Linked DNA regions of Macaca fascicularis. The protein of the gene in region 1 interacts with the protein of each later gene in a pairwise test. Links are inferred from orthologs where the notes say so. Each region holds a gene or a part of one and is shown on either strand. Other genes may lie near its edges. The genes, in order: HTT, MAGEB18, ERCC6L, UTP14A, JAKMIP1, YWHAB and AP2A2.

Region 1 (3,861 bases):
AATCTTAAATGTATCAACACTTAAGATGTATTTGATATGTGGAATCCATTCATATTTTGGATTAAACAATTCTGTCAAGACCGTGGCAGTGATAGAGGATTTTTTTTTCCCACTGAACTATCACAAAATTGGAAAAAGAGTAATTGGAGAACCCCACTGGCTTGGCCAGCTCGAAGCCCGGGAGGGGGCAGGCAGTGCTGTGGATGGGAGCGTCGCAGTACCACGCTGCCCCTCCTGCCCATGGATCTCTGAGGCCTGCCTTTGTCCTTTGACCCTTGGCCATTTGTTAGTGTCTCTGAGAGCTGGACTGCTGTACCCCTACTTCCCCAGGGGGGCCTGACTTCACACAGCCTCTGCTGCAGTGCGTGGTTGGAGGTGACGGCCTTGGTAAATCCAGTTTCCTGCCTCCTCAATTATTTGTGCTCATACACTGTATATTTTTTAGTGAGGTTTATATTTGAGATGTGTTTTCTCCTTCTTACGCTTTCTGGCCTTTCTATGGATTAATACCTGGTCTCTTCTTGTGTACTTGAAAGTGAATCTCTCATCATATTTTTCCTTAGTGTCAGAACCTCCATGACTCCGAGCACTTAACGTGGCTCATTGTAAATCACATTCAAGATCTGATCAGCCTTTCCCACGAGCCTCCAGTACAGGACTTCATCAGTGCTGTTCATCGGAACTCCGCTGCCAGCGGCCTCTTCATCCAGGCAATTCAGTCTCGTTGTGAAAACCTTTCAACTGTACGTTTTCATCCTGCCAACAATTGCCAGTTGCAGTTTTCTCTGCCTTAAAAATGGAGTATTGAAATTTTTAACATTAATTTCTGATTGGCAAAATAGTCATCTTTTGTTCTTTTCCTTCTCGCTGTTAGCCAACCACTCTGAAGAAAACTCTTCAGTGCTTGGAGGGGATCCATCTCAGCCAGTCGGGAGCTGTGCTCACGTTGTATGTGGACAGGCTGCTGTGCACCCCTTTCCGTGTGCTGGCTCGCATGGTCGACATCCTTGCTTGTCGCCGGGTAGAAATGCTTCTGGCTGCAAATTTACAGGTATTGGGAAAAGAAACCCTGATATTGATTTATATTGAAAATTTAGCAGGCCAAGCAAAACAGGTGGCTGCCTTTTTCCTCCATAGGTGTGGTCTTGACACGGTCACCAATAGAAACATGGAAATATCTGCAAACTTGCCATTCCTCGTGTGTCTGATCTGTTTCTTGAACTTTTTTCTAGTCTGTCCTTACTAGGATGAACTGTACACATCAGTTTATCCTTTTTAAATGAGCATGAGGTTATTTTGGGTTGTTCAGTGTCACAAACACACTAATGTGTTTTTGTCTATTAGAGCAGCATGGCCCAGTTGCCAATGGAAGAACTCAACAGAATCCAGGAATACCTTCAGAGCAGCGGGCTCGCTCAGAGGTAATGCTGGAAACACAGGTCATCCTTGTGTTAGGAGAACCCAGGATATAAAAGATATAGATTTGTGCGGGAATAAATTCACAGGACAAGAAATTGATGTGCGTTATAGGTGGGTTTACTGCAGAAGTGCCATAATAGAAAGCTTCCTACTTTTAAAACAACCAGATCTCACTTTATATGGAGTAAAGGACAACCAGCAGGATCACGTCTATGACATGAGTGGAGGCAGTTTGCACTCCTGTTGGCTGTTTGAGAGGTAGTATTTAGAATGCCTGTATTCAGTGTCCTGTGATGAGTGGGAAAATAGGTTATCAGCTTTATCTTAGCAAAATCAAAGCATATCATCTAATTGCTAAACAAGAGTTGGCAAATCTGAAAGACATTACTGAATCCTTGGCATGCAGGACTTACATCTGCATCCCGTTGCCATTTTTTCTCTTCAAAGCATTTAATCACTTAGTTGTGTTTGCAAAGTCTTTTAGAAGCCTTTATCAGAAATCCTTACATCTCCTATGTGAGTGTATTTCCATGACTGCAAAATAAGTTAAACTTTTACCTTTTTTCTTCCCTTGGTGGGGGCGGAAATTGTGTGTGTGAAAGGGAAAGAGAGACAGCAGAGAAGGAGAATATAATTATCATGCTGTGTCCTTTGAGCTGAAATTGCAAAAAAGAAAACACACACACACATGCTTTGATTTCAGTCTTAAGAGTACCTTGTTGATGGTGTTTTTAAATGGGATTGGGCACAATTAGGTGGACAGTTTGGGGCGATTTTTCGGTCTGTAGGGCCAAGCTGTTTTGTAATTTGCATTATAAAGTTGTCACTCTCATAGCATATGGTGGCAGATAAACTATTATTACTTTTTGACCCTAGACTTAGTCTTCAGTCCAGATGAGGGAGATTAAAAGATTATAAATATCTTGTGCCAGATGAGGTGATTTTATTTTGAAATGACCATAAATTCCTATCAGTTGTCTTACTGGGATATTTTGATAGTGGAGTTTGTGCATTTGAGTCTTAGATGATCTGTTTTACGTTTATTAAGAAAGCCTTTATTAGCTTTTATACCATGTATGGACTGTTGCAATGTTTGAGTATAAATGAAATTTCTGGACAATATTAATGGAGTACAAACTGTGATACCTTAGAAGTAAACTAGGGCCTGCGTTTATATCATGACCTGTTTGAGTGTTGATGAGAAAATAGCTGCGAAGAAAAAGTTTTAAACAAGTTTCATTTTCCTTTAAGAAGCCACTAATAGTGCATCCTTAGGGTGTATATTTCTAGAATCCTAGTGTGCAGAGTTTAGACTAAGACTAAAAAAAAAATTGCACTGTAATTTCATTTTTGTTTGTATTTTAGACACCAGAGGCTCTATTCCCTGCTGGACAGGTTTCGTCTCTCCACCATGCAAGACTCACTTAGTCCCTCTCCCCCAGTCTCTTCCCACCCGCTGGACGGGGACGGGCACGTGTCACTGGAAACAGTGAGTCCGGACAAAGTAAGTGTCCAGCGTGTCTGCATGCGGGGCACAGGGCAGAGTGCCTCTGTCACCTGTGGCAGATACAGAGAGTGCAGAGGAGGTGCGGTGGACCCAAGGAGTGCTGGCGCTCTGCTCGGCTCAATGAAGCCGTGGTTAGAGACCTGGGGGGACCATCAATGTCCGAGGGAGCAAAGCAGTGCTGATGTGGGACCCTTTCGGTAGGAGTGCGAGGTGAGTCGTTAGTGGGTGACTCAAGGGAAAGTCAATTGTGGCCTGCAGGCCCCTGACTGCACAGGCCTTCAAGCACATGTCAGTGCATTTAGCCTCCCTCCATCGCCTCATACCTTCTGGCCACCTGTGAGTTGCACCGCCACTGCCAGCCATACTGGTATGTTGTCAGCACCTCCACTGCTCATACCTCACCGTTAGGGACCACTTGGGGCCTTGGTAGAGCCTTGGTACTCTACTTTCCTGGAGAGAGTTCAGCTTATGAATATGAATTTAGATTTCAAAAACCAGCAGCCCAAGTATAAGAAAGCGAAGGTTCAGTCCTGCCGCCTTAGGCTCTATTTGCTAAGCATCTGCCCTGCCCTGCCCTGGTTGCTGGGAAGAGATGAGCAAAGCAGACAGCCCAGGAGAGGATGGCAAAGGGGCCGCTAACCCTTAGTAGTTTAGCTATATTTGGAAGGACTATTAGAAGTTCACCAGGTGAAGGGGGAGGCCGTGAGAGTACCCAGGTAGGTAACAGAAGTCCAAAGGGGAAGACCTGTGGTGTGGTGAGCTGTATAGCCACAACATGCCGGCCGGCGGCCCTCTCAGTTAGCCTAGTGCAGTGTTCCCAAGCACTGGCCTAGGCCTGTAGCTCCAGGGATGTGAAGTGCCCTTGAACGCCACCCATCATGTTCCCCTTATTCATCTTTTTCTTCCCAGGACTGGTACATTCATCTTGTCAAATC
Region 2 (4,327 bases), on another chromosome or scaffold:
AGAATCAACCTAAATGTCTATCAACAGTAGACTGGATAACAAAAACGTGGCACATATATATCATGGAATACTATGCAGCCATAAAAAAGATGATACCCTTTTCAGGAACATGGATGGGACTGGAGGCCATTATTCTTGGCAAACTAACATAAAAACAGAAAACCAAATACCACATGTTCTCACTTATAAGTGGGAGCTAAATGATGGGAACACATGGACACATATAGGGGAACAATAGACACTGGGGCCTTTTAGAAAGTGGAAGGTGGGAGGAAGGAGAGGGTCAGGAAAAATAACTAATAGGTACTAGGCTTAATACCTGGGTGATAAAATAATCTGTACAACAAACCCCCATGACACGAGTTTACCTATATAACAAACCTGCACATATACTTCTGTACTTAAAATAAAGGTTAAAAAAAAGAAGCCTCAAGGAATCTTATAAAAAACATTTGTGCTACCTCAAGGCTTTAAGTCACTGAAATTCACTGTGAACTGGATTAGGATCTTACGGGAGGGGCGGAAGTAAAGCTTTTCAGAAATCCAAACCTGACTCAGCCAGTGTAGTAGAAACAAAACAAAAGTAATATACAAAGCATTAAATTGAAAGTCATGGTTTCAAATAAGGAAAGATCCTAGCTACTCCAGATTTTCTCTAAGAAGTTCTTTTCTGGATTCCTTTTAGTGCCTGAATGAAAGATCCTTTGATGCTTTTGTCATCCTCATTTTTCTCCTAATGTACCGTCCTGAAAACAATCTATTTCAACAAATTTGAGAGGGCTTTAAAAATAAAAAAAAAAGTGTAATGAAAAATATACCATTCAAAAGAGCAGCAACATTCAAAATGTACCTAAAAAGAACATTAACAAAAACATACACTCTATCAAAGCAAATATAAAAGTTTACTGATAGACTCAGATGGATGCCTAAGTAGAGCAATACAATATATTTATACGTGGTGAACATAATATTGTACAGATGTCAATTATCTTTATTTACAGATTTAGTACCTTATTTGATGGCCTCAAGTCAGCAGAGAAGTGGCCCTGTACCTATAAAAAGTCACGATAAGACACTGAGTGAGGACTGAGGGCGTTACCTACCCAAGAAGAGGGACCCCCACAGACCCCGCCCCTACTGTCAATCTTGGGAGGCCCCAGGCATGGCTGCTAGGCTCACGCTCCACTTTACTTCCTACTCTGAACTCAGGGAAATGATCCTTTTTCTGAGGCTGACTGATTCAGCTTAGCAAAGAGAGAAGTCCCAGTGCCTGCAAAGTCAGTGAAAGAAATATATGTATTTCTTTAAGAACTGCCCCTCCCCCAGAACACAGAACCATTTGCTGTTATGCTGGGAGAGCAAGGTGGGCGTGGCCGGAAGTGTTTCTCTTGACCTATATTCCACGTCATCAAGCTGTTACGGGCGAAGCCTTGGTCTGAAAGATGTGGCCAGAGAAATAAATTTCAGGATCCGGCAGGTGTCAAAGTGAGTATCGTTTGTTATGACCTTCGAGACACACTTTTCCCAGAACAGAGGCGGCCTCATAGAGACCCATCCTTCTCTGCTCTGTCCTGCTCCCACCGTCAACTGTGTGTGTCCCAAAGCGCAGCTGTTAGGCCTAATACCCTTACTTCCTGTTGGGAATCTGTGGGATGGGAAGCCATGGTCTAAAGCGAGGCAGCCTCAAGTCAACAGAGGGAGGACTCAAAGGACTAAAGTAAAATTAATATCCTGAGTTAGAACTGATGTGATAAACCCCCACAGAACAGTCCCAGCCTGCTCCTGCCTTATGGGTTCCTAAAGCAATACCCTCAAGAGAACCAGCAGAGGTGGCCATTCTTAGACCAAGGTAGAATCTCCCTACCAAGGCTGTGAACACTATCTTATCCTCCGTCTTCTAGGGTGACCTCTTCATCAACCCAACTGCCTGCACTATTGTCTGTAGTCCCTGACAAGAGTAATTATGCCTCGAGGTCAGAAAAGTAAGCTCCGTGCCCGTGAGAAACGCCACCAGGCTCGTTGTGAGAATCAGGATCTGGGTGCTACTCAGGCCCCTGTGGCAGAAGGAGAGTCGTCCTCCTCTGCCAATCTTCTCTTTGGTGATAGACCCCAGAATTTGCCTGCTGCTGAGACACTTAGCATCCCTGAGGCGCTTCAGGGAGCCCCATCCACCACCAATACTATTGCACCTGTTTCATGCACCAGTTCAAATGAAGGTGCCAGCAACCAAGACGAGAAAAGTCTAGGTTCCTCAAGGGAAGCTGAGGGCTGGCAAGAAGATCCCTTAAGCAAGAAAGTAGTGTCGCTGGTGCATTTCTTGCTTCAGAAGTATGAAAAGAAAGAGCCAATTACAAAGGGAGATATGATAAAGTTTGTTATCAGAAAGGATAAGGGTCACTTCAATGAGATCCTCAAGAGAGCCTCTGAGCACATAGAGCTGGCATTTGGTGTTGATTTGAAGGAAGTGGATCCCATCAGGCACTACTATGCCTTTTTCAGCAAACTAGACCTCACCTATGATGAAACAACCAGTGATGAAGAAAAAATTCCCAAGACTGGCCTCCTGATGATTGCACTGGGTGTGATCTTCATGAATGGCAACCGTGCCCCAGAAGAGGCAGTTTGGGAAATTATGAATGTGATGGGTGTATATGCTGATAGGAAGCACTTCCTCTATGGGGATCCCAGGAAGGTCATGACCAAAGATTTGGTGCAGCTAAAGTACCTGGAGTACCAGCAAGTGCCCGACAGTGATCCTCCACGCTATGAATTCCTGTGGGGTCCAAGAGCTCACGCTGAAACTAGCAAGATGAAAGTCCTGGAGTTTGTAGCCAAGATGCATGATACCGTCCCTAGTGCCTTCCCATCCTGCTATGAAGAAGCTTTGAGGGATGAGGAACAGAGAGCCCAAGCCAGAGTTGCAGCCAGGGCTCATACTGCTGCCATGGCAAATGCACGTTCCAGAACCACGTCTAGCAGCTTCTCCCATGCTAAGTGAAATCTGAGGTTGGTTCTTCACTTTTTGGTCGAAAAGGTCTGTCAACATTCTAATAGTGGAGGGCCATGGTGGGGCTGGAAGAAATAAGCGTATATCATCTTTGCGTTCCTATTGTATATTGATAAGTAGAGTTTTACTTTTCCTTCTTTTTTTTTTTCCCTAGGTTACATTTCAAATGTTGAAGTCTGAAGAAGATTGTTTTCTTTGTGGAAGAAAAAAGCAATCAACATTCTAAGTAGTGAATGGCCAGGGTGGGTCTGGAGGGAACACAGCATATATCATGTTGTGTTAATATTCTATAGTAACTTGGAGTTGTATCTTTTTCTTTCTTTTTTTTTTTGGTGTTATATTTCAAATGTTGTTTCTTTTAATAGAAGTTTTAGATTACTTCAGAATCGAAATTTATTAATGACTTTGGTTACACATGTATTGCTATTTAAGAGTAGGAGTTTTATTGTTCTGTAAAACAAATTGGGAAACCTTCTTTCATATTTAATGAGCCAAAACAAGGAAACACAGTATTGGAATAGGTATTTCCTTAAAAAATGTGAAATGATTTAGCAGTAAAATTTTGGAGATCAAAACATAGGTGAGAAAAAGTAATACTTTTTAGTTCTTGGTTTTCTTTATCCATTTTATTCTGTTATATAAAGATAAAAGAGTCATACCTGGATTGGCTTAGCTTACTGAAGAAGGTAGGAAAAAATAAAATGTTTATGAACTAGCATCTATGCTTACTGCCTCATTCATTCCTCCAATATTAATAAAACATCTGATCTTTGAAAGTAATTTTGTTAGAAATGGGAAAACTAGGATACAAAACACCCAGCCCTGCTTAGACTTTTACAATTAATGAACAATAATAATGCATGGAAGATGGTGAAATACTTCTAAGACCTAAAGTACAAGTAAGAAGAGGGAGTAAGGAGGTAAGGAGTTAGAGAGGGGTTTGGGAAAAGTGCTGGAGTGTATCTGGCTGAAAATGGTAAGGTGCAAATTCTCTGAAGAAAGGCCCTTTTAGACTTTTGGAAACTATGAGTCTCTCAGTGGGATATACTTTTAATTTAAGCTGGGTGGTGAGCTACATGAAGCTGTGGGACTGGAGAGCAGAGGCCAGGCACTCAGATGGTGTGTCTCATTGTTGAAGGACAAAACCCTGGAGTGGAAACCTCCACTTAAGAGTTACCTTGGTGACATCAATAAAGCAGAAGAAAACCTCTTGGAGCAGAAGTGGATAGTGTCCTGTGCTCTTGTTCACATTCAGTTGAACACATAGCATAATCTAGTTATTTTATGTACAGCCTCCCCAGGGAATTTTTGAGAAATAAT
Region 3 (4,452 bases), on another chromosome or scaffold:
CCACAACCTCCTATTTAGTGTCACCCAAGCAAGTCACTTAATCACATTTCCTTAAGCTCTAGGCTCCGCCTTTTTTTAGGCTCTGCCTTTGAAAATGACTGTATCTTAGTTGGTGCTTCTGAAGAAATGGTGACCACAGCACTACTTCTTTCTTTTTTTTTTTTGAATTATTTTTGTCCTCTTCTTATTACACCAAGTATGTGAACCTAACTACTTATTTCTTAAATAAGAACTTTATTTTCTTTTATTTTTTTGTGAGATGGAGTCTTGCTCTGTCGCCCAGGCTGGAGTGCAGTGGCATGATCTTGGCTCACTGCAGCCTCCACCTCCCGGGTTTGAGATTCTTGAAGACCCTTCTCTCTTTCTCTCTCTCTTTTTAAAAAAATAAATACAGCATAACGCCCTGTGGAGAAGAAAAAAAAATTGAAAAAGAGATGGGGGGGTCTCACTATGTTGCCCAGGCTGGTCTCGAACTCCTGAGTGCAAGTGATCCTCCCACCTTAGCCTCCCCAAAGGCTAGGATTACAGGTGTGAGGCACCGCACCCAGACTTTTTAAAATTTTTTTATTTTTATTTTTGAGACAGAGTCTTGCTTTGCCACCCAGGCTGGAGTGCAGTGGTGCAATCGCGACTCACTGCAACCTCCACCTGCTGGGTCCAAGCGATTCTCGTGCCTCAGCCACCTGACTGGGACTGCGGGCGCCTGCCACCACGCCTGGCTAATTTTTTGTATTTTTAGTAGAGACGGGTTTTCACCATGTTAGCTAGGTTTGTCTTGAACTCCTGACCTCAAATGATCCGCCCGCCCCGGCCTCCCAAAGTGCTGGAATTACAGGCGTGAACCACCGCGCCTTCTTCAATGTGAGTTTAAATCACAGGGACTACGCCTCCCAGGGTGTTTGGATTCAAAGCACGTTCAGTGCCAGGTACTGGCGATCAAGGAAGGGAAGGTATCTCTGGATGTGGGGCAGGGGTTGACTGGGGGATGCAGGCGTTGGAGATCTCCAAGGGTCGCCACAACGACTGGGATCATATCGGGCAGCCTCCTCCACTCACAATGATAGCACACGCATGCGCGAACGAATTGGCCGCAGCATGGTTTGAACTGGGTTGAAACGCAAGGGACTACAGAGTGACGCAGCACACTCCGTGTCTCGAAGGCAGACGTCACTTCCTACCTCCAGGCGCGCGTAGGCGCAGGCGCCTACCCTCATGGGCGGGGCTCAGGCGGTGGCGTCGCAGCGCGTGGTCGCGGATTGGCCGGCCGCGAGGCCGACGGTTGGCTGTGTCCCTCGCCACAGGCGCACAGAGCATGCGCGGGGCGGGAGTGCGCGAAATTCAAGCTCCAAGCTCCCACCGGGGTAACTGGAACCCAGTCCGAGGGTCATGGAGGCGTCCCGTAGGTTTCCGGAAGCCGAGGCCTTGAGCCCAGAGCAGGCTGCTCATTACCTAAGGTATGTCGGGGCCGCTGGGCGGGTCTAGCTAACCGACCTGGCCCAGGGTGGAGGTGGGGGTGGCCCCCAGATCCCCCTGGTGACCCGAACTGTTGAGGCGCAGCCTTTTGAGGCGCGCTCTCGCACTCTTCTCGCAGTAGGGTGTGGGAGTCAGCTCTGGATGTTTGACCAGATTTCTAAAACCTCAGGAGACCCCGATGCCTTTTCTTTTGGGCAGATGACCCTGCAGTATGAGCTCCGTAAGAGCCAGAACCTTAATTAATCAAGCCCTTATTGATTCTTTTCAGCTTATCAAGCCCCAAGCCTAGGGGATACAGAGATGAGTAAAACAAGGTCCCCGCCCCCAAGTTGTTTGTAATCTAGTGGTGGAAACGGATTTGTAAAGCAATAATTACTAGGTTTGATAAGTGTTGTAAGAGGTATAATGTATGTGCAGGGCATAGTGTTGGCATAAAAGAGGGGATGGCCAACTACAAGGGTGGTCAGCTAAGGGATGGCATGGCAAGAGGAGACATTTGAGCTAGGCGTTGAAAAATAAGTTAGCATTCACCAGTTGGCTAAGGGTGGGGGGCGTGGTAATGTTGGGATGAGCATTTAAATTTTTTCTTAAATTGTGGTAAAGTACGCATAACATAAAATTTATCTTTTTGTGCAGAAACTGGGTTTCATGAAAAATAAAGTTTATCATCTTAATCATTTTTAAATGTACAGTTCGGTAGTGTTGACTACATTCATATTGTTGTGCAACTGTCTGTCATCTCCAGAACTTTTCTTATGTGGCAAAACTGAAACTACTCCCATTAAACAACTCCCCATTTCCCCCTCCCTTCAGCCCCTAGCAACCATTATTCTGTCTCTGTGGATTTTACTGCTTTAATTTTTTTTAGACAGGGTCTTGCTCTGTCGCCTAGACTGGAATTCTGTGGCCTGATCATAGTTCACTGCAGCCTGGAACTCCTGGGCTCAAGCAGTCCTTCTGCCCCAGCCTCCCTAGTAGCTGGGACTTCAGGTGGGTGCCACCATGCCCAGTCAATTTATTATCTTATTATTGTTGTTTTATATGTTTTTTTAGAGACAGGGTCTGGCTCTGTCACCCAGGCTGGAGTGCAGTGGCTCGATCTCTAACTCAGTTCACTGCAACTTCCATCCCCCGGGGCTCAAGGGATCTTCCCACCTCAGCATCTCTAGTAGCTGGGACCACAGGTGCACACCACCACACCCAACTATTTTATTTTATTTTTTTTGAGACAGAGTCTCGCTCTGTCACCCAGGCTGGAGTGCAGTGGCACGATCTCAGCTCACTGCAAGCTCTGCCTCCCGGGTTCACACCATTCTCCTGCCTCAGCCTCCCGAGTAGCAGATACTACAGGTGCCCGCCACCACACCCAGCTAATTTTTTTGTATTTTTAGTAGAGATGGGGTTTCACCGTGTTAGCCAGGATGGTCTCGATCTCCTGACCTCGTGATCCACCTGCCTCGGCCTCCCAAAGTATTTTTTCGTATTTTTAGTAGAGACAGGGTCTTGCCATGTTGTCCAGGCTGGTCTCGAACTCCTGAGTTCAAGCAGTCCTCCTGCCTCAGCCTCCCAAAGGGTTGAGATTACAGACGTGAGCCACCATGCCAGGCCTTTCATTTAGATTTTTCCAATTGTTTGCCGTTTTACTTTTGTTGTAATAGGCAGCCTTTTTGTGAATTTTTGTGCACTTTATAACTGAGTGTACACTTTGGAATTCAGAGTGCTGTATCTTAGGGAATGTGTATTTAAAATTGCTATTCAAGGCCGGGCGCGGTGGCTCAAGCCTGTAATCCCAGCACTTTGGGAGGCCGAGACGGGCGGATCACGAGGTCAGGAGATCAAGACCATCCTGGCTAACACGGTGAAACCCCATCTCTACTAAAAAATACAAAAAAAAACGAGCCGGGCGAGGTGGCGGGCGCCTGTAGTCCCAGCTACTCGGGAGGCTGAGGCAGGAGAATGGCGTGAACCCGGGAGGCGGAGCTTGCAGTGAGCTGAGATCCGGCCACTGCACTCCAGCCTGGGCGACAGAGACAGACTCCCTCTCAAAAAAAAAAAATAAAAAAATAAAATAAAATAAAATTGCTATTCAAGAACACCATGCCAGATTTTAATAAAGTCAATAGTGTGAGTAAGCATTTATTTATATTCTCTCAGGCTGGTGTGTGATGAGCTATATGAGTCAATTCAAAAGTTAAGATACATAGTTTTACTTTTGAAGCTAGGACTTGTAGTATTTTCTTCTACAGATACACTTACATGAGTGGGCAAAGATGTGTGTGCGTGTATATACAGTAAGTCCTCATTTAACATTGTCCATAGGTTCTTGGAAACTGACTTTAAGTGAAATGACATAGCAAAACCAATTTTTTTCTCATCAGTGTTGCAGCAAAATGATATTGAATGAACCAGTGTCATTCAAGGACCTGCTGTGCGTCATTTTGCTTAAAGTTGCAGTTGCCAAGAACTTACTGACCACGTTAACTGAGGACTTACTGTACATGTAAACATATACCAGAGGTGTGTGCCACCAAGCTTGTCTAATTTTTTTTTTTTTTTTTTTTTTGAGACGGAGTCTAGCTCTGTTGCCCAGGCTGGAGTGCAATGGCCGGATCTCAGCTCACTGCAAGCCCCGCCTCCCGGGTTCACGCCATTCTCCTGCCTCAGCCTCCCGAGTAGCTGGGAGTACAGGCGCCCGCCACCTCGCCCAGCTAATTTTTTTTGTATTTTAGTAGAGACGGGGTTTCACCGTGTTAGCCAGGATGGTCTCGATCTCCTGACCTGGTGATGCGCCCGTCTCGGCCTCCCAAAGTGCTGGGATTAAAGGCTTGAGCCACCGCGCCCGGCCACTTGTCTAATTTTTAAAAGATTTCTGTAGTCTGGGCACAGTGGCTCATGCCTGTAATCACTTTGGGAGGGCGAGGTGGGTGGATCACAAGGTCAGGAGTTCAAGACCAGTCTGGCCAACATGGTGAAGCCCCG
Region 4 (4,499 bases), on another chromosome or scaffold:
AACATTTCATGAATAAGAAAACAAATTAGCTGGGCGTGGTGGCTCACGCCTGTAATCCCAGCACTTTGGGAGGCCAAGGTGGGATCATCTGAGGTCAGGAGTTCGAGACCAGCCTGACCAACATGCTGAAACCCCGTCTCTGCTAAAAAATAAAAAAATTAGCCAGGCGTGGTGGTGCACGCCTGTAATTCCAGCTACTCGGGAGGCTGAGGCAGGAGAATCGCTTGAACCCGGGAGGCGGAGGTTTCAGTGAGCCGAGATTGTGCCACTGCACTCCAGCCTTGGCAACAAGAGCAAAACTCTGGGAAAGGAAGGAAGGAAGGAAGGAAGGAAGGAAGGAAGGAAGGAAGGAAGGAAGGAAGGAAGGAAGGGAGGGAGGGAGGGAGGGAGGGAGGGAGGGAGGGAGGGAGGGAACAGACAGTTATTAAATACCACACAAAGTTCTAGGAACCCAAAGACTGAGAGGTATCCATTTTATTTAGCAACTTTGGGTGTCGCTGATCTTGTCCAGAGCAATTTCTGTGGAATAATGGGGCAAAAGCAAAAATGGGAATGGATTAAAAGAATGAAAAGAATGTTCTTGTCTATTATTTTTCTACAATCATCATATATATATATATACACACACATATATTAGGCAGGGCCCAGTGGCTCACGCCTGTCATCCCAGCACTTTGCGAGGCCGAGGCGGGCGAATCACTTGAGGCCAGGAGTTCCAGACCAGCCTTGCCAACATAGCAAAATGCCATCTCTACTAAAAATGCAAATATTAGCCGAGCATGGTGGCAGGCGCCAGTAATCCTAGCTACTCCGGAGGCTTAGGCAGGAGAATCGCTTGAACCTGGGAGGCAGAGGTTGCAGTGAGCCGAGATCACGCCATTGCACTCCAGCCTGAGCGACACAGCAAGGCTCTGTCTCAAAAATAAATAAATTCTTAAAAGTTGATGGGAGAAAAAAAGTTGTTTAAAATAATTTTTTTAAAGTTGATAGGAGGTGAGGAAGCGTAGCTACTGACGGCCCATTCTTGGATAAAATATTTTGACTCAGGAAATGAAGAACAGAGCTGCAATTACAAGGGATCAAAAGATATTTTTCCTTAAATGGAAGGAAACTTGTTTTGTTCACCATCGGATCTCCGGGGCCCGGCACAATCTGGCCACTTAATGGGCATTCAATAAACCCCCGAGCTGGCTGGTGGCCGGCTTGCAGGACGCTGTCGCACAAGGACGGGCGCTGGAGTCTTTCCTTCTGGATTATGTAGGGACGAATGAAGGCGCGGGCTCAGTCCCTGACAGCGCAGTACCTTCGCCCTAAGCTAACCCACCCTGGGCCGCGTGGAAACCAGGGACCAGGAGGACAGACACCGGCGCACCAGAGAAATACGGGGTGGGTGGAGAAAAGAAAGCCCCACCCGCTGACAGCCGTTTCATCTCCAGCCTCGCCGTTTTACGCAGTCCCCTCCCTACACGGCTCCTGCTTCTCACACGCCTAGTACGCAACGGAACTGACGTGTACGTCGCGAGCGATTGACGGAAACAGAAATTGCTTTGCGGCCGGCACGGAAATTGCTTTCCTTCGGCTTCCGTTCTTGGTCCATGTGAGAGAAGCTGGCTGCTGAAATGACTGCGAACCGGCTTGCAGAGAGGTGAAGGGCAACGAGGGGAGTGGGGATTCTGGGTCTCGTTGGGGGCCGGGTTCCCCAGCTTTTGGGAAATGGGCGCCCCCTTTTAACAGATGGCAGTGGTTCCCCTCAAGAGCTGGCCACTTGTTCCTGTTTTCCGCGATCCAGCCTTTAAAGCCCTTTTAATTTCATTCACTTACTCCGCTCCTCAGCTGTATAGCCGCATCCCTGTTGGTCCTGATGCTGTTTCTGCCTCCCCAGCTCATTTACTATGTTTCACATTCCTCGTCACGTGACCCCTTTTTCTGCCTCTGCCGCGGCCCGATTTAATCCTCTGCGCAGGCAGTGCAGGCGTTATAAACTCCCCGAATCTTCGAAAGCTTTGCTGACTGGAGTCATCGCCACGTTTTGGCTCCTATGATGTTTTGTGCCTCCCCTCCCCGCCCCCGGAACTAAATGTAGTCCGTTTAGGAATGTTGGCTTTGCAAATACTAATAATATATGCTGTTAAGTAACGGTAAATTTTGTAATTTGTGGGTACCAGTCTCCCTAGTTAAGCACCTACTTTGCTAAGCAGGCCCCAGGGAAAATGGCTTACTCAGCTGCTTTCGACCTGTTTCTCCATTCCTGGGAACAAGTGATCAAGATGACACTTTTTTTTTTTTTTTTTTTTTTTTTTTTTTTTTTTTGAGACGGAGTCTCGCTCTGTCGCCCAGGCTGGGGTGCAGTGGCCAGATCTCAGCTCACTGCAAGCTCCGCCTCCCGGGTTTGCGCCATTCTCCTGCCTCAGCCTCCCGAGTAGCTGGGACTACAGGCGCCGCCACCTCGCCCGGCTAGTTTTTTGTACTTTTTAGTAGAGACGGGGTTTCACCGTGTTAGCCAGGATGGTCTTGATCTCCTGACCTCGTGATCCGCCCGTCTCGGCCTCCCAAAGTGCTGGGATTACAGGCTTGAGCCACCGCGCCCGGCCAAGATGACACTTTTGATCAGGCTGCCTTTTGATCAGGCTGCCTATCAAAGAGTCAAACATGTGGAGGATGCTTAGAAATATTAATCGTGAAACTGCCTTGCCTCCAGGGCTAGCAACAGCGTCTTTGGCCATATTATTCTAGGGTCTGACATTTTTACAGCTTCCCATAGGTCATAGGAAATGTTGTGCCAATCACTGAAAAGTGTTAGCTCTTTTACATGCAGTTTTGAGTCAGGCATCATTCCTGGAGGTGATGCCTGACATCAGTCTAAATTTCACGTCTTGACAAGTTTTCAAAGGCGTTCATGCTGCTTTATATATCTTCTGAGGGATAGGGCTATTCTGTGTTGAAGTTACAATGTTTACGAGATTGTTTTAATAGATTAGACATTGCTTCAAATAACAATATTTCTCTATTAAATTTCAACTTTTATTATAATTAAGGGATACATATACAGGTTTGTTACATGGGTATATTGCATTCACATTTCTTTGTTGCCTCTTTTAACAGCCTTCTGGCTTTGAGCCAACAGGAAGAACTAGTAGATTTGCCAAAAGACTACCTCTTGAGTGGGAGTGAAGATGAGGTGGGTGACAATTGCTAAACTGCCTTCAAAATTAGGGTAGAGAGCACATTCCTGGAATGGAAAGGTGTGACAATATTCTATGTATTTGTTCAGGTCTCTCAAATTAATTACAAATGGTTAGTGTTTCATATATAAGTTACTGTATCATATTAAGTGCTATAAGGATTTGGAAACTAAGTTACACTCACTACCCGCAAGTTGCATAAGTATAATTTATAAAACCAACGAAAACAGGCCCGGCTGGTGGCTCACGCCTGTAATCCCAGCACTTTGGGAGGCTAAGGCAGGGAGATAACCTGAGGTCAGGAGTTCAAGACCAGCCTGGCCAACACGGCAAAACCCTGTGTCTACTAAAAATACAAAAATTAGCTGGGTGTGGTGGTGTGTGCCTATAATCCCAGCTACTATTGAACCCAGGAGGTGGAGGTTGCAGTAAGCCAAGATCAAGCCACTGCACTCCAGTCTGGGCAATAGAGCAAGACTCCGTCTCAAAAAAAAAAAAAAAAAAGACTGAAACACATGGTCCTCATATGATATGATTTCCCAAGTTTGGATTTCTATAGAGCGTTATTTAATTATCTGACTGAAATATGCATATGTATTTTAAGCTGGATCTCCAACAGATGCTATAAGAATTCCAATTCTTTATTTCCCTTACAAAAAAACACTTTTTTTTTCCCTTGGGTTGGGGGCACACAACACATCTATTTTAATAACAAGGAGGGTGTTTTTTTTTGTCTATTTTTTTCTGCTTGTCGTGTTCTTCGTAGGAAAAGCCAACTTAACTTGGAGGCCGGGTGTGGTGACTCACACCTGTAATCCCAGCACTTTGGGAGGCCAAGGCGGGTGGATGACTGGAGGCCAGGAGTTCAAGACCAGTCTGGCCAACATGGTGAAACCCCGTCTTTACTAAAAATACAAAAATTAGTTGGGTGTGGTGGCACTCGCCTGTAATCCTAGCTATTCCAGTGGCTGGGGCAAGAGAATCACTTCCAGGAGGTGGAGGTTGCAGTGAGCTGAGATCACACCACTGCACTCCTTCCTGGGCAACAGAGCGAGACTCTGTCTCAAAGAAAAAAAAGCCAACTTTGTAACTGGCTATGACTTACACTATATGTCAGGGTTTCCATGTTAGATCATACTATATATTTTATACAGAAACACCATTTTAAGCCCTTTTTGTCTAGAAGCAAGTTAGGACAGACACATGACATTAGCTCCCTTTTAGTTTGAGCTGGAATGCTTGCACACCAGACCTCTTCCAATTCCCCAGTTCTCTACTGACCAAAAGAACAAGAGATTTGGCCGGGCGTGGTGGCTC
Region 5 (4,315 bases), about 3.5 Mb from region 1:
CTCTGGCCAATGAAACGTGAGCAGAAGAGATGAGCGTCCCTTGGGAGGGAAGCTTTCAAAGCCAGCATAATTGTCACCTTTCATTCATGCTGCTGCACCATGTGGGTGCTCGGCTGGGAGCCACCACTCCGATGAACAGAGCCCCACTGACAGAGGAAGGATGTACCATGTAGCAAGACACACCAGGGAGATTTGGGTTTGGTTGTTACTGTGGCTAACACAGCTTATCCTGACTGGTGCAGTTTAAAAAATATCAATCTGACCATAGTCCATGGGACCACCTTCCAGGCGAGACAGTCTCCAAACTCTGCCCAGCCTGCAAGACCTTGCAAGCGCTGCCCCTCTGTGCCCCCACGCCCCATCTTCCACACTCTCCCTCTCATCATTCTGTGGCCCAGACACTTTTATCAGATTCTCAAACATGTCCCGTTCCCTGCAGTCAGGGTGTTCCCCCACGCTGCTCCCTTTGCTGGGTGCTCTTCCCTCCCTTCTCCTTGCTAGAAAGTAAGCTCTGGTGGGCGCCTCTTCCTCTCTGCTGTTCACTATGGTGTCCCCACATCTTCTTGACTGCCTGGCACACAGTAGGTGCTCAATAAATATTTGTCTAATGACACTGAATGAATGTTTGCCCAGCTGAGTCCTGCCCCTCCCAAGTCTCAGCTCGACAGCACATCGTTCATTTGGCTATGACCTGGTGATGTGGCTTTGCTGGGGGCAGCCTGGGCTGGTGGGGGCAGCTCCCTAGGCTGGCATATGTCCAGTTCTGCCCCTTGCTGGCTCTGCCGACTTTAGCGTGCGCTTTAACCTCTGACCTTCAGACCTCTCATCCGTACAGAGGGGGACATGGATCTCCGGGGTCGCTGCGTCTTCCTGACCACTGACGGCCAGGACGGCCCCAGCCCCGCTTTACCTGCAAGCTCCACGCCAGGCTCGAGCCCCCGAGGGTAGGGACAGCTTCCCGAGGCCCGAGCCTTGACCAGAGCCTGAAAGCTCCTCCCGGGGGTTGCTCCGACTCAGCGAGGCGCCAGGGTGCCCGGCGCGGCTGAGGGCGCTCAGCGCCGGGACCCCAGCCCCGCCCGGGCCGGCCGCTGGCCTAGTGCGCACGCTCCGGCAGCTCCGCGCCCCCTCTCGCGGCTGCAGAAGCTCTCCCAGAGTCTGCCTGGGGCGGGGGCGGGGGCGGGGAGGGGCGGGCGCCTCGCCCTCCTGCCTGACTGGCAGGAAGACAGACCAATCGGACGGGCTCCCTAGGGAGGGGCGGGGCCGTGCCGGAGCCGGGCGCCGGCGACCAAGGGAGCTGCAGCCACCCGCGTGCGGCACGCGCCGGCCGCCTGCCCCTATCGCGGCCACCAGTGCCGCGGCCTCTCGACTCCCGCCCCGCCGAGCCGCGCGCGCGACTGCCATCCTCCTCAATTGCTTTTTACGATTTTTTGTGCATGCATTCATTTTCTGTTCCGTTTTGTCCTTTTTAAGGCGGTGGCGGCGGCGACACCGGCGTAAGCTCGCAGCGGGGAGGGGGCGGCCGGAGGATGCGGCGCGGGGCTGCGCTCGCTACGCCCGCTGCTGCTGCCCGGCTCGGGCCTGAGCGCCGAGCAGGTGGGTACAGGTGCGCCGGGGGGCGGGAGGAGAGGCGCGCGCAGGCCAGAGAGAACCCGTGGACCCGGCGACCGAGGGGCGGACCCGGCGGCGAGGGACGCGGCGACCGGTGCCGCCCCGCCCCATCGTCCATCTCCCCGTCCTCCGGTCATCGCGCCCCCTTCGGGTCCCCCTTCCACTCTCGCATCCCACCTCAGCGTTCCCCCACCCTTCCGTACCCATCCCCCACTCCTCTTCAGACCCCCTTGCAAAATCTCCCAGCCGCTGCGTCGCTTCCCCCAACACCCCCTCCCGGTTCCGCCCCCAGCCCCCAGCTCTCCTTCACGCCACCCCTATTTCCACTCCTCTCCGGATTCCGCCCCCAAGCCAAGGAGCGGGAGGGGGGACCCACCCGGTGCCTGCCGGAGTGGCCTGGGGGGTGTGGCCGGCCGGTCCCCTCGGTGTCTTCCGCAGGGTAGGTCGTAGTCCCCCAGATCCCCGCCCAGGTGGCAAAGAAGATGGAGCTGGGGGCCGCGCCCCGGCGGCGGGGGGCCCGCGGGCGAGGCCGCCCAGCCTGCACCCCACCCCACGCACGGCACACGCCGCCGCGGCCCCTGCCACGCACACCCTCGCGCTGCTCCGCCCACGTGGGCGCCGGGGAGGAGGCTGGAGAGATGGGAAGAAAGGCTGGCACCCACCCTCCTGCCGGCCCAGCGCGCCCTGGGCGCGCTGGGCTCGGAGATGGCGCGCAAGGATTGACTCCGGTGGTGCCAGACACCTTGCCGGGCGCCGTGCGTCGGGGCCAGCGGCCTCGGTGGCCTACGTCAGTGCGCGCGCGGCGGCCTCGCCTCCCAGCTCCTCGGTCCTTCGCTCCATCCCCCCTGCTGTGGGCTCCTGAGGATCCGGCCAGGGCAGCCCAGATAGAGGCCGCTTACGAGGCTGGCTCTTCTTTTCGCCTTAGAAGCATCCCGCTCCCACACACCCCAGCTCGCCGGTCTCCTGAAGGCTGGGCCAACCTCGGCTCTCCGCCAGCCTCTGCCCGGCTCTCTGAGCTCCAGCGATACTGTATCTAACCGCCAGCCCTCCTCCGCCGCTCGCCCCATCTGCGCACACTCGCAGGCACACTGTCCTTGGCCTTTGCCCGTGTTGTGCTCTCTCCGGGAACGCCCTAACTTCGGCTGGCCAGCTCCTTGTAGACCAAGGTCAGGGAGATCCCCTTGCCCCTCCTGAGCTTTCCTGGACCGCGGAGCTGTCCCAGGATGCTGTTACCATCTGACGGCCTCTGCCTTCCAGAGCAGAGGAGGAGGTGGGGAGGAGGACAGGGGCAGCCTCAGCCCCTCTCCCAGGGCTCCACCCACAGTGAATGTTGGGCATAGCAGGGACATCTCCCCTAAGTCAAAGCAACCCGCTGGTGTGGAGGGCGAGGCCATGGGAGGAGTTGGCCCTTCCTCTAGCAACCTGGGCTTGTGGGTGGTGGCTCCAATAGCTGGGATGGGCAAGGAGGAGGGACACATTCGAGGATGGAGTGGGGGGATTAGGATCCTTTCCTAGCAGGGCACTGTCACCCTCCTGGAGATCTGCGGGTCTGCAGAGACTGATGTTGCGGCGCACAGTGGAGGTTTGTGGCTTGTTGCAAGATTTTTGTTGCTGAGATATGTACCGGTTTGTAATGCTGAACATCTCCGCTCTGGAGTCTGGGGTAATTCTTACCTGGAGTCTTTTTGCAGTAAGCCGCTCCCAAAGGATCACAGTGTGGACCCAATGCATGAGATGACTGGCATTTTCTTCCTTCACAAACCACCTATGACTCCCACTGCCCCCACTACCTCACCAGTTCCTTCCATCCTGACTTCCCTGGCCCATCTCTCCCCTCTTCCTGCCACGATGTCTCAGCCACGCCTGCTGCCTCTGTGTTGTGTAGACATGTCTTCACACTTGGGTTTTTCCCCACATGCTTTTTTTTCACCCCCCTCTCTAAAACAATGCTCCCCTCCCTTGTGTATCTGGAGAACGATTCATGATAAAGTCCAGCTCTTAGGTTCCATCACTGTGATTTTCCAAGACTCTACCGGAAAGATTGTGTGGTTCTCTCATTGTGTTCTCAGAACTTTTCATACACGTCCAGTGTGATATTTGTTTGTATAGTTTTTCCTTAAGCAGATCTTGCCCACTAGAGACTGGGGACACGGGACACGGGACACAGTGAGGTCACCTGAGAGATGGTCCCACTTTGGTCGGGGCTCTGTTTTCCTAGGGAGATGGCCACACAGACACTGCCCGTGCTGTCAGAGAGCCATGTGCAGGGAGAGGGGGACAGGCCCCTGCCTTGGCCCAGCCAGGAAGGCTGCCTGAGGAAGTGGCAGGACCGTGGCCCCACTCTCTTGGTGTGTAATGGTGGACTGGGCTGTGGGACAAGTGGCAGAGGGAACAATTTCTAGTCCATAAGGCAGCAGCAGTTGCCACTGCAGGCTGTGGCTCTCTGTTTAACTCCTCGAGGGTGGGACCTTGCATCTCTTCAGGCTCTGAGCCAGACTGCCAGGGTTCCCATTCAGGCCCTGCCTCACTTAGCTGGGATTGGGCAAGTGCCTCCCTGCTGGGCTTTCTAACTAAATGGGGGCTTCCCTTGGGGAGTCTGAGGATGACTGCGGTTTGTCCCAGTTCTCCTGGGTCACTCCTCTCCCCATAGTGGCAATGGGATCAACCTGCAGGGCTTCTGAAGTTGGACTCGCTTATACTTTATCCC
Region 6 (4,635 bases), on another chromosome or scaffold:
GAGTAAAACAGTGAATTAGAAGTCTGTCATTTAGCTAAGTAAGGGTAAAGGCAAGACGGCAAAGGCCTATTTACTTGGCTCTTTCTCCTACCCGACTGCAAACTCCAAGACAGCAGGGCCCCATCTGCCTTGTTCATTGCTGTGTCTCCAGCACTAAGCAAAAAGTCTGTTCCACATTTGTTGAAAGAATAAATGAACAGGAGAGAGGGAAGGCGAGAGGCATTTTGAAGGACTGAGTTTAAAAATCAACTACCTTGAAGCCGGGCAAGGTGGCTCATGCCTGTAACTGTAATCCCAGCACTTCGAGAGGCTGAGGCGGGTGGATCACCTGAGGTCAGGAGTTTGAGACCAGCCTTGCCAATACGGCGAAGCCCCGTGTCTACTAAAAATACAAAAATGAACCGGGAGTGGTGGCATGCCCCTGTTATCCCAGCAACTCAGGAGGCTGAGGCAGGAGAATTGCTTGAACCTGGGAGGCACAGACTGCAGTGAGCCAAGACTGTGACACTACCTGGGCGACAGAGAGAGACTCTGTCTCAAAAACAGAAAACAAAACAAAACAAAATCAACTACCTTGAGAGGAGTAGAATGTCGGTAATTGTGAGAGCAGTCATGAGGGGAGGGGAGCCATGGAAGCCTGTTTCCTTCCCTGAACTTCCTCAAGGAGGGGGCATCTTAAAGACGGAATCATCTACACAGATTTTTGTGGGGTTTTCTTGGAGACAGGGTCTCACTCTGTCGCCCAGGTTGGAGTGCAGTGTCATGACCATAGCTCACTGCAGCCTACAACTCCTGGCCTCAAGCAATCCTCTCACCTCAGCTTCCAAAAGTGCTGAGACTACAGGCGCGAGCCACCGCGCTCGGCCCTACACAGGTTTTTGAAAAAGACCTTTGTGCGTTGGATTCCTGGCACTTCCAAGTGGCCTCTTCAGTCTACCAAAGAAGGAAAAAGTAAGTACTCCGAAGGATTGAAAGGAGGATTAAGGGAACATTGAGGGATGAGCAATTTCTGTTCTTCCCTACCTCCACTATTCCCAAAGCACACAGCAAGAGGACTGACATCGGCTTCCGACACCGTGAGGATTACTTTCTGGGTGGAGGGGGGACTGCTAAACCTCGAGTCTCCGTACCTGGCCCTGGCGCGTTTCCAGTCTGAGCAGAAAAGGAAACCCCCACCCAGACCTCACTCCTAGTCCTCCGGGTGCCTTTACAGCCCGTATCTTGACCACCCCCAGCTCCGCCCTCTCTCCTCCCACCTCCTTTTCCCGCTCCCCCGCCCCATTTCCTTCTTCTCCGCCCACCTCCTCCTGGGTCCCTCCCCCGGCCATGCGCCCTGCCCCGGCCGCGGCAACCCTGCCCTTCGTTCTTCTTCCTCCTCCCTTCCGTCAGCGCCCCTCCCGTGGGGCCGCGGCAACCCCGTGCCTCGCTTGCCCAATGAGAACACGGCGTGGGGCGGGGCGCGGCCAGGACCGGAGCGGAAGTGGTGACCGGAGCGGAAGTGGAGCTGCCGCCACCGCCGCCGCCGATTCCGGAGCCGGGGTAGTCGCCGCCGCTGCAGCCACTGCAGGCACCGCTTCCGCTGCCTGAGGAGTGGACTTGGGAAGGAAGAGGTCATCTCGCTTGGAGCTTCGCTCGGAAGGGTCTTTGTTCCCTGCAGCCCTCCCACGGTGAGTGCGGCGCGGGGTCCGACCGGGGCCCCCGGGGGCCCAAATTCGAAGCCCCTCTTTGGCAGCTGCGACGACGGCGGCCCAGCGGGTGGGCCCCGGGGGATAGCGGTGCGCTGCCTCTTCCGCTTCGCGCGGCCGCCGGCGGCGAGGCCAGGCCTCGCAGCGGCCCCTCCCTGTTTCCGGGGCCGGGCCCTTTACCTCTTGGAGAGGCCCGGGCCTCCCTCGCCGCCTAAGGTCCTGCCGGCCGGGCGGGGTGCAACTCTGTGCTGCACCGTGAGGGACAGCGGAGCCGAGGGTCCCGGACTCTCCCTCACTATCTGATTCGGTCCCTCACGCGACCCCTCCCTGCGTCTTGGTCGGCAAGAACCGTCCTCTTCAGCCCAGTCACCTCTGCTCCGTGCTTTCCGGTTTCCAGAAATTAAAATTTAATCAAACGCGGGTGAGTTTTCTAGCCCCAGTCCCCCTGTTTGACTCCTCCTGGATGAGTAAGGGGTTTAACCTTGGGAGACAGCAGTGGGGGAACCCCCTCCCATTTTGCAGTAAAACCATTTCATCATCCTTAACTGGTTATGGAGCCTGGCAGGACCCAAGATTCCCTAGGAAGGGAATTGGGTTTGAATCAAGGAAATGTGTTTGTTGGAGCCGGTTACTGAGTCAGGCCGGATCCCCAGGAAAAAATATCGGGATGAGAATCGGAATATTTTCCCACAGTATTTACCGTCATTTAATGCCAAATTCTTTTGTGTCTTTACCCCAAATTCCCCCTATTGTGTGTTAGCACGTTTTTCGGTCTGAAATTTGCCCGGTGGCTTCCTGGTCGGGGGGTGGGGAGCGGAGGGAAGAAGAGGTGGGAAGGTGAGTGCATCTTTGCCGCAAATGGAGAACTCCCATATAATGAGGTTTCCAGAGGTGGCAGCCTTGGTAAGCAATTTGCCAACCTTTCTGTGAAATGCATGTCTCTTGTCGTTGCCTTCATTGCATTTCTCTTTGGTAAGGCTAGATAGCATCAGGTCCTGATTTTGCTTACCCTGTGTGGGAGATGGAATTTGGCAAGATGATGCTATGAACATAAAATCAGCCTGCCACGGAAGCCAAAACAGAAAGGTGAAGCACTTATAAGAATATGAAAATTGTCTGCATTTCTCATTCTGTCAGTTCATATGAAGCCAGACACAGATGCAGTTTATGGAGCTGGACCCTGCAGCTTTTGCATTTTCATGTTGGAAATTTATATAAGTATTTGTTCTTGGTGAATTTCTTCTTGACTGCTTCCATGGTACCCTATTTCTTACTTAGGGATATCTCATTTGTTTGAGCCCTCATTTTTCTTGGATTCCTGTCCTTGGCAACACGAAGTGTATGAGTGTACAACCTGTCAATCTTATTGGACCTGAGTTAGAAATTTAAGTGTGGCTTTCAAAATGGAAGGCAAATAATCCTGTAGCAACTGCAGAATTATTTTCCTAGCCTGCCCCTCCAATGAGATAAGAAACCATTCACCTATCTTGCAGATGAAGTCTTTATGAGAAATGAGGTGATTTGGCCTAGACTCTACACCTAGTTTTTTTCAAATTGAATATCCTCATTCATCAGTAGCAAATATGGATTGCCAGCCCCTGGAGTATGACTCCTACCCTATAATCTTTTGTACATTTCCCGTCTTGCAGTGCTTGCTATATTGAAGCCATTTTAGAATTGGAGCACTATAGATCAGGGAGGCAGCCTGTATAAAACCAGGCTGAGCAAATTCCCACGATGCTGGTTCTCTAGGCAGAGTCTCCAGAGATTTGGGCCTCTACAAAAAGTGCATTTTGCCCATTTGGCTGTGGATAGAGAAGCAGGAAGAGCACTGGACTTGGAGTCAGGTAAATTTGGTTGAAATCTTGCCTGCAATATTTTCTAGCTTTCTGAATCTTCAGCATGTTAGTCTATGGTTCTTAGTTTTCTTATCTCCAGGGTTATCATTAAGCCTTTTTTATAAACTGTAAATTGTTAAATAGAAGCTTTTGGTTTTTTAATTAGAGTTCACTATTAATGGCTTTTTCTCTCCAGTTAACATCTGATGACACTAAACCCTGCTTTGTACACAAGTTGCTTTCAAAAAATGGTATATTATTATGGGACTTTATTTTGCATGTAGGCAAATCTAGTCTTTCTGAATCATTTTCTCATCTATATAGCGCAAATGGTAATGCAGCTTTGGATAATTTTTGTTGTGACAAGCTCAATGAAAATAAGCATCTGGGATATAGTTGGGGTTCAATAGATGTTTAACCATCTGCATGAATATACACGTGTATAGATTAGACATAGCATATGTGCTATTCATGGACATCTATATAGAATCCATCCATTTGTGATTTATCTGATGAGGTGGTATCAATTAGTCTATAATAATAATTACCACTTACAGTACTTACTGTGTGCTAAGCTTTCTTTTAAGCACTTTAAGCATATTAGCTCAGTCTTCATAACAACCAATGAAAGGTAAGACTATTAGCCCCATTTTACAGATGAGGAAACTAAGGCACTGAGAAGAATAATTTTCCCGAGGTCTCACACACAGCACAAGGTAAGTGCCAGAACCAGGAATGAAACCAGATGATCTGGTTGTAAGGAATGATATTATAGATTTCTACGTGTGGTAGAGACAGCACATGTATATGTTTTGTGTGAACACCATTTAGTCCTTAATTTTTCTTCACACCAATCCTAATAAACGTTTGAATGGGAATACTAGCTATTTTTGAAGATAGATACAGGACGATTTATTGTGGAGCATATACCCATTCTGGCCTGTAGGGATGATATTGTTAGCATGCATCAGGAAGCAAGCTTGTGAACAATCCAGTTTTTCTAGTACTTGCTTCATACTAGGGAGAAAGTCATCAGTTACTTTGGCATAGAATGTTAGGTTCTTCATCTAAGAGAATTTGATTATGACCATTAATTTTTGTTTATCATACTA
Region 7 (3,861 bases), on another chromosome or scaffold:
CTTGACCTGTAGCTGGTGGTCCTGGAGCGTGGTGAGTGTGCTCGCCTCCACGGGTCCTGCTGGGGCTCTAGCCCAGCCCGTTTCCGCTTCTGCCGCTGGGGCTTGCTTGGCTGGATTCCTTAACGCACACACACCTGAACCTGCAGACCAAGCCCGTGGACCCGACTGTGGAGGGGGGTGCGCAGGTGCAGCAGGTGGTCAACATAGAGTGCGTGTCTGACTTCACGGAGGCGCCAGTCCTCAACATTCAGTTCAGGTAAGAGCCATCTGTGCGCCCCGGGCCAAAGATTGTGTGGGCGCCTGAGCTGTGTGCCTGGGCTCCATGACTGTGCCCCCATGTCCTTCCTGAGGGGACCCAGGGCATGTGGGTACTCATGGTGCATGGATGCGACCTGAGCTGTTGCTGCCCTCAGCTCTGCAGAGCGCAGGAAACAAGGGGAGGTGAAGCCCTGGGCTGTGGGATGGCAGGTGGCAGCTCCCACATGGGGCCTTGCTAGGATCTTTCTGGGCACAACGGGGCCTACCTCATGGGGTAGCAGACAGCCAGGGCCACATGCCACCTGCCCGGCTTGGTACCAGACAACCGCTGCGAGGTGAAGGCAGCTGGCTTCCTTCGGACCCTGGCCTGAGGGGTGTGTTTTTTGCACAGTTGGACTCAGATCATACCACTTTGCTTATTTTTTAAAAGCAGGAGATTTTCCTGTTGCAACTGTTGCTTACTCTCACTTTTCAGTGGCTACAATAGCGTGTACACGGTCAGCGCGTACCCTGCTGGGTGTCTGCAAGGTTATGAATGTTGAGAAAAGCACACTTTCTAACATTAAAAATACAGAGAACTTAAGGATTGTATACCGTAGAATTTGGGGACATAGACATGCAAATTTTTGTTTCATTCTTTGTGCAAATGCCTTTGCCTTTTTAAAGAAAAAAAAAATCACACTATTTGCACAGACTTGGAGTTCTGAGAAACAGATAGATGGGGAGAAGTGAGGCACAGGGGCGTCCTGCCTGTGTACGCGGCCCTGGCCTATCCTGTCTGTGGGTGACACTGTACACTGAGCCACACATGATCTGAGACTCAAGGCTCGGCTCCCCACGCTCTGGTGGGTGGCGGTAGGTGGGGACGCTTCTCACTCCAGGCTCTTTTCCGGCCCCTGGGGCTCTCAGAGGAGGAGCTGACTGTCCCTCGGCTCTTTCCTGGCCCCTGGGGCTCTCAGAGGAGGAGCTGACTGTCCCTCGGCTCTTTCCTGGCCCCTGGGGCTCTCAGAGGAGGAGCTGACTGTCCCTCGGCTCTTTCCTGGCCCCTGGGGCTCTCAGAGGAGGAGCTGACTGTCCCTCGGCTCTTTCCTGGCCCCTGGGGCTCTCAGAGGAGGAGCTGACTGTCCCTCGGCTCTTTCCTGGCCCCTGGGGCTCTCAGAGGAGGAGCTGACTGTCTCTTTCTGCTGCTGCTGGCAGGTATGGCGGCACCTTCCAGAACGTGTCTGTGCAGCTGCCCATCACTCTCAACAAATTCTTCCAGCCGACAGAAATGGCTTCTCAGGATTTCTTTCAACGTTGGAAGCAGTTGAGCAAGTGAGAAACCTGTTGTCCTGTAGGGGTCGGGGGTGGGGATGGGGGTCATTTGAACAGATGGGCTTTGGTCTCTGGCCTGGCTGAGAAACTCGCCTTTGCTGTTTCTCACAGTCCACAGCAGGAGGTGCAGAACATCTTCAAAGCAAAGCACCCAATGGACACAGAAGTCACCAAAGCCAAGGTAGGGCATCTGGAGGGACGGCCCCGGGGACACGCTGCCTGCAACCCAGCGCCAGGGTCTGGAGGGACGGCCCCGGGGGACGCGCTGTCCGTGACCCAGCGCCAGGGTCTGGAGGGATGGCCCCGGGGGACCTGCTGCTCAAGACCCAGCACCAGGGTCTGGAGGGACGGCCCTGGGGACACGCTCCCCGCCACCCAGTGCCAGGATCTGGAGGGGTGGCCCCGGGGGACATGCTGCCCGCAACCCAGCGCCGGGGTCTGGAGGGATGGCCCTGGACGTGCTGCCTGTGACCCCGCTCCAGGATCATCATTCTCCTGTTTCTTTGAACAGATCATTGGATTTGGTTCTGCACTTCTTGAAGAAGTTGATCCTAATCCTGCAAATTTCGTGGGAGCTGGAATCATCCACACGAAAACCACCCAGATCGGATGCCTGCTACGCCTGGAGCCGAACCTGCAAGCCCAGGTCAGGCCCTCAGGAAATGGCTGAACACACTTGAGTTGCTTTTTATTCTGGCACAATGTACATGGTGAGATGTGTAGCTCTTTAGAGCAGTTTGGTCAGTTTTGATAGATGTTGTGTGCCCGTTTAACCACCACCCTGTCAATACATGGTTGCATCCCAGTCTCCCCACAGCTGGCCACCTGGAGCATTGTCCCGCCACAGAGCATCCTGGCCCTGGGCGATGGCTCTCCCAGCTGTTCCTCTCTGTCACCGCGTTGTTCCTTCTCGCCACGTCCCATTCTGTCGACAGACACCTGTCTCCGTTTCACTCGGGCGGCACCCGGGAATGCCGCTGCTGCCCAGGGCCTGTGTGTGGTTAGCGCTACAAGAAGCTGTGCCACTTCACACTCCCGCCAGCTACGTACGAGGTGCCAGGCGCTCCCGTGCCAGCCCTCAGTTTTCATGCTGACAGTGTGTGTGGTGCTCAGGCCTCTGCCGAGCTGTGGGTGCCTCCAGAGAGCGGTCCCTGGGCGTGGCCCACAGGGTTCTGCATGGCGGGTCCTGGACCCGAGGGCTGTGTGAGCCTTGGCATGCCCGCTGACCCGCTGCGCTCTCCGTTTCAGATGTACCGGCTCACGCTGCGGACGAGTAAGGAAGCCGTTTCTCAGAGATTATGTGAATTGCTGTCCGCGCAGTTTTAGTCTTGAGGATGGAAGACCAGGCCCGTGTGTCTTGCGTTGTCTTCGTCTGTGCTGTTTGTCTTCGTGGCCGTCCTGCAGATGAGCACCCCCGCTGCCCCAGACCTCTCCCCTTTGGGCTGGACAGGAACACACGTGTGTGGCTCAGGAAGAAAAGCTCAGCCTGGACTGCGGCAGCCGCGGCAGAAGGTGGATCTTGGGATCAGTTTTTATAAAAATCAAGACAGTTCTGTGGTTCAATCTACAAATTAAAGGGAAATTAGAAGTTGGCGTGAACGTGGCGTTTGTGGGAGTGTCACTGAGATGGCCCGTGCTGCCGCCCACCCCGCCTCGGAGCCTCTGGGAGCAGCAGTGCCGCCGCGTGTGGCGTGGGCTGAGCCTTGGTGTGTGGCTGTTCTGGTGGCTGCACACCTGGCATCGTCCTGGGCCCTTGGGAGGAGCACGGCCGCCCCTGGTTTTGCTGCAGTCCCAGCTGGACAGTTTTCCCAGGCAGGATTTTAATCTGGACTTCAGAAGCATTTGTATTTGTGATGACTTCTGGCCAGACCACGTGTCCTGGCTGGATGTAATTATTTTCCCAGCTCCTGTTCGTGGAGGGTGTCTGTTTTGCTCCTGCAGTCCCCGAGGCCTTAGATGTGCAGCCAGGGAAGGAGCGTCCTGCTGGCCCCGCGGGGCCCCCAGGACTCCGGGGTAAAGCGTGGGCTGGTGGCTCAGACTCAGGTGTGCTCGTCTCTCTCCTGTCAAGAGTGGGTGTCCCCAGGCCACGGTGCAGGCTTGAATGCTTCCACTGGCCCCGTCCAGTCATCCCTGGAGGGGCTGTGGAGGAGGGAAGCCTTTGTGTCGTCAGGAAGTGAAGGGGCCATGGGCCACACACTGTGTGCCACCTGCGGCTTGTGTCTCGCCTGTCGTCTGGACTCAGCACCCAGGCTGCACGTCTGACACCTGAGAGGCGAGAGAGTGGGGCTG

The links.
Region 2: the proteins of HTT (region 1) and MAGEB18 interact in binary tests that used the Homo sapiens proteins (3 or more experiments, as listed by UniProt). The link is inferred for Macaca fascicularis from reciprocal best matches to the Homo sapiens genes HTT and MAGEB18.
Region 3: the proteins of HTT (region 1) and ERCC6L interact in binary tests that used the Homo sapiens proteins (3 or more experiments, as listed by UniProt). The link is inferred for Macaca fascicularis from reciprocal best matches to the Homo sapiens genes HTT and ERCC6L.
Region 4: the proteins of HTT (region 1) and UTP14A interact in binary tests that used the Homo sapiens proteins (3 or more experiments, as listed by UniProt). The link is inferred for Macaca fascicularis from reciprocal best matches to the Homo sapiens genes HTT and UTP14A.
Region 5: the proteins of HTT (region 1) and JAKMIP1 interact in binary tests that used the Homo sapiens proteins (3 or more experiments, as listed by UniProt). The link is inferred for Macaca fascicularis from reciprocal best matches to the Homo sapiens genes HTT and JAKMIP1.
Region 6: the proteins of HTT (region 1) and YWHAB interact in binary tests that used the Homo sapiens proteins (3 or more experiments, as listed by UniProt). The link is inferred for Macaca fascicularis from reciprocal best matches to the Homo sapiens genes HTT and YWHAB.
Region 7: the proteins of HTT (region 1) and AP2A2 interact in a two-hybrid assay, tested with the Homo sapiens proteins (2 studies listed by BioGRID and IntAct). The link is inferred for Macaca fascicularis from reciprocal best matches to the Homo sapiens genes HTT and AP2A2.

Annotation. Positions count from the first base shown.
Region 1 is NC_088379.1:3,422,512-3,426,372, forward strand, and holds part of HTT (huntingtin), read left to right. Parts: intron 1-563; coding exon 564-743; intron 744-874; coding exon 875-1,051; intron 1,052-1,344; coding exon 1,345-1,421; intron 1,422-2,784; coding exon 2,785-2,923; intron 2,924-3,835; coding exon 3,836-3,861.
Region 2 is NC_088395.1:26,116,166-26,120,492, forward strand, and holds MAGEB18 (melanoma-associated antigen B18), read left to right. Parts: upstream 1-1,360; 5' UTR 1,361-1,485; intron 1,486-1,901; 5' UTR 1,902-1,963; coding exon 1,964-2,998; 3' UTR 2,999-3,006; intron 3,007-3,161; 3' UTR 3,162-3,725; downstream 3,726-4,327. UniProt on the Homo sapiens protein: May enhance ubiquitin ligase activity of RING-type zinc finger-containing E3 ubiquitin-protein ligases. Proposed to act through recruitment and/or stabilization of the Ubl-conjugating enzyme (E2) at the E3:substrate complex.
Region 3 is NC_088395.1:79,021,969-79,026,420, reverse strand, and holds the start of ERCC6L (DNA excision repair protein ERCC-6-like), read left to right. Parts: upstream 1-1,374; 5' UTR 1,375-1,386; coding exon 1,387-1,454; exon of another isoform or gene 1,455-2,463; intron 2,464-4,452. UniProt on the Homo sapiens protein: DNA helicase that acts as a tension sensor that associates with catenated DNA which is stretched under tension until it is resolved during anaphase. Functions as ATP-dependent DNA translocase. Can promote Holliday junction branch migration (in vitro).
Region 4 is NC_088395.1:136,173,184-136,177,682, forward strand, and holds the start of UTP14A (U3 small nucleolar RNA-associated protein 14 homolog A), read left to right. Parts: upstream 1-1,567; 5' UTR 1,568-1,619; coding exon 1,620-1,645; intron 1,646-3,102; coding exon 3,103-3,178; intron 3,179-4,499. UniProt on the Homo sapiens protein: May be required for ribosome biogenesis.
Region 5 is NC_088379.1:6,896,001-6,900,315, forward strand, and holds the start of JAKMIP1 (janus kinase and microtubule-interacting protein 1), read left to right. Parts: upstream 1-1,298; 5' UTR 1,299-1,593; intron 1,594-4,315. UniProt on the Homo sapiens protein: Associates with microtubules and may play a role in the microtubule-dependent transport of the GABA-B receptor. May play a role in JAK1 signaling and regulate microtubule cytoskeleton rearrangements.
Region 6 is NC_088384.1:100,980,516-100,985,150, forward strand, and holds the start of YWHAB (14-3-3 protein beta/alpha), read left to right. Parts: upstream 1-1,494; 5' UTR 1,495-1,667; exon of another isoform or gene 1,668-2,106; intron 2,107-3,437; 5' UTR 3,438-3,532; intron 3,533-4,635. UniProt on the Homo sapiens protein: Adapter protein implicated in the regulation of a large spectrum of both general and specialized signaling pathways. Binds to a large number of partners, usually by recognition of a phosphoserine or phosphothreonine motif.
Region 7 is NC_088388.1:914,274-918,134, forward strand, and holds part of AP2A2 (AP-2 complex subunit alpha-2), read left to right. Parts: intron 1-132; coding exon 133-256; intron 257-1,455; coding exon 1,456-1,572; intron 1,573-1,683; coding exon 1,684-1,753; intron 1,754-2,083; coding exon 2,084-2,218; intron 2,219-2,820; coding exon 2,821-2,898; 3' UTR 2,899-3,861. UniProt on the Homo sapiens protein: Component of the adaptor protein complex 2 (AP-2). Adaptor protein complexes function in protein transport via transport vesicles in different membrane traffic pathways.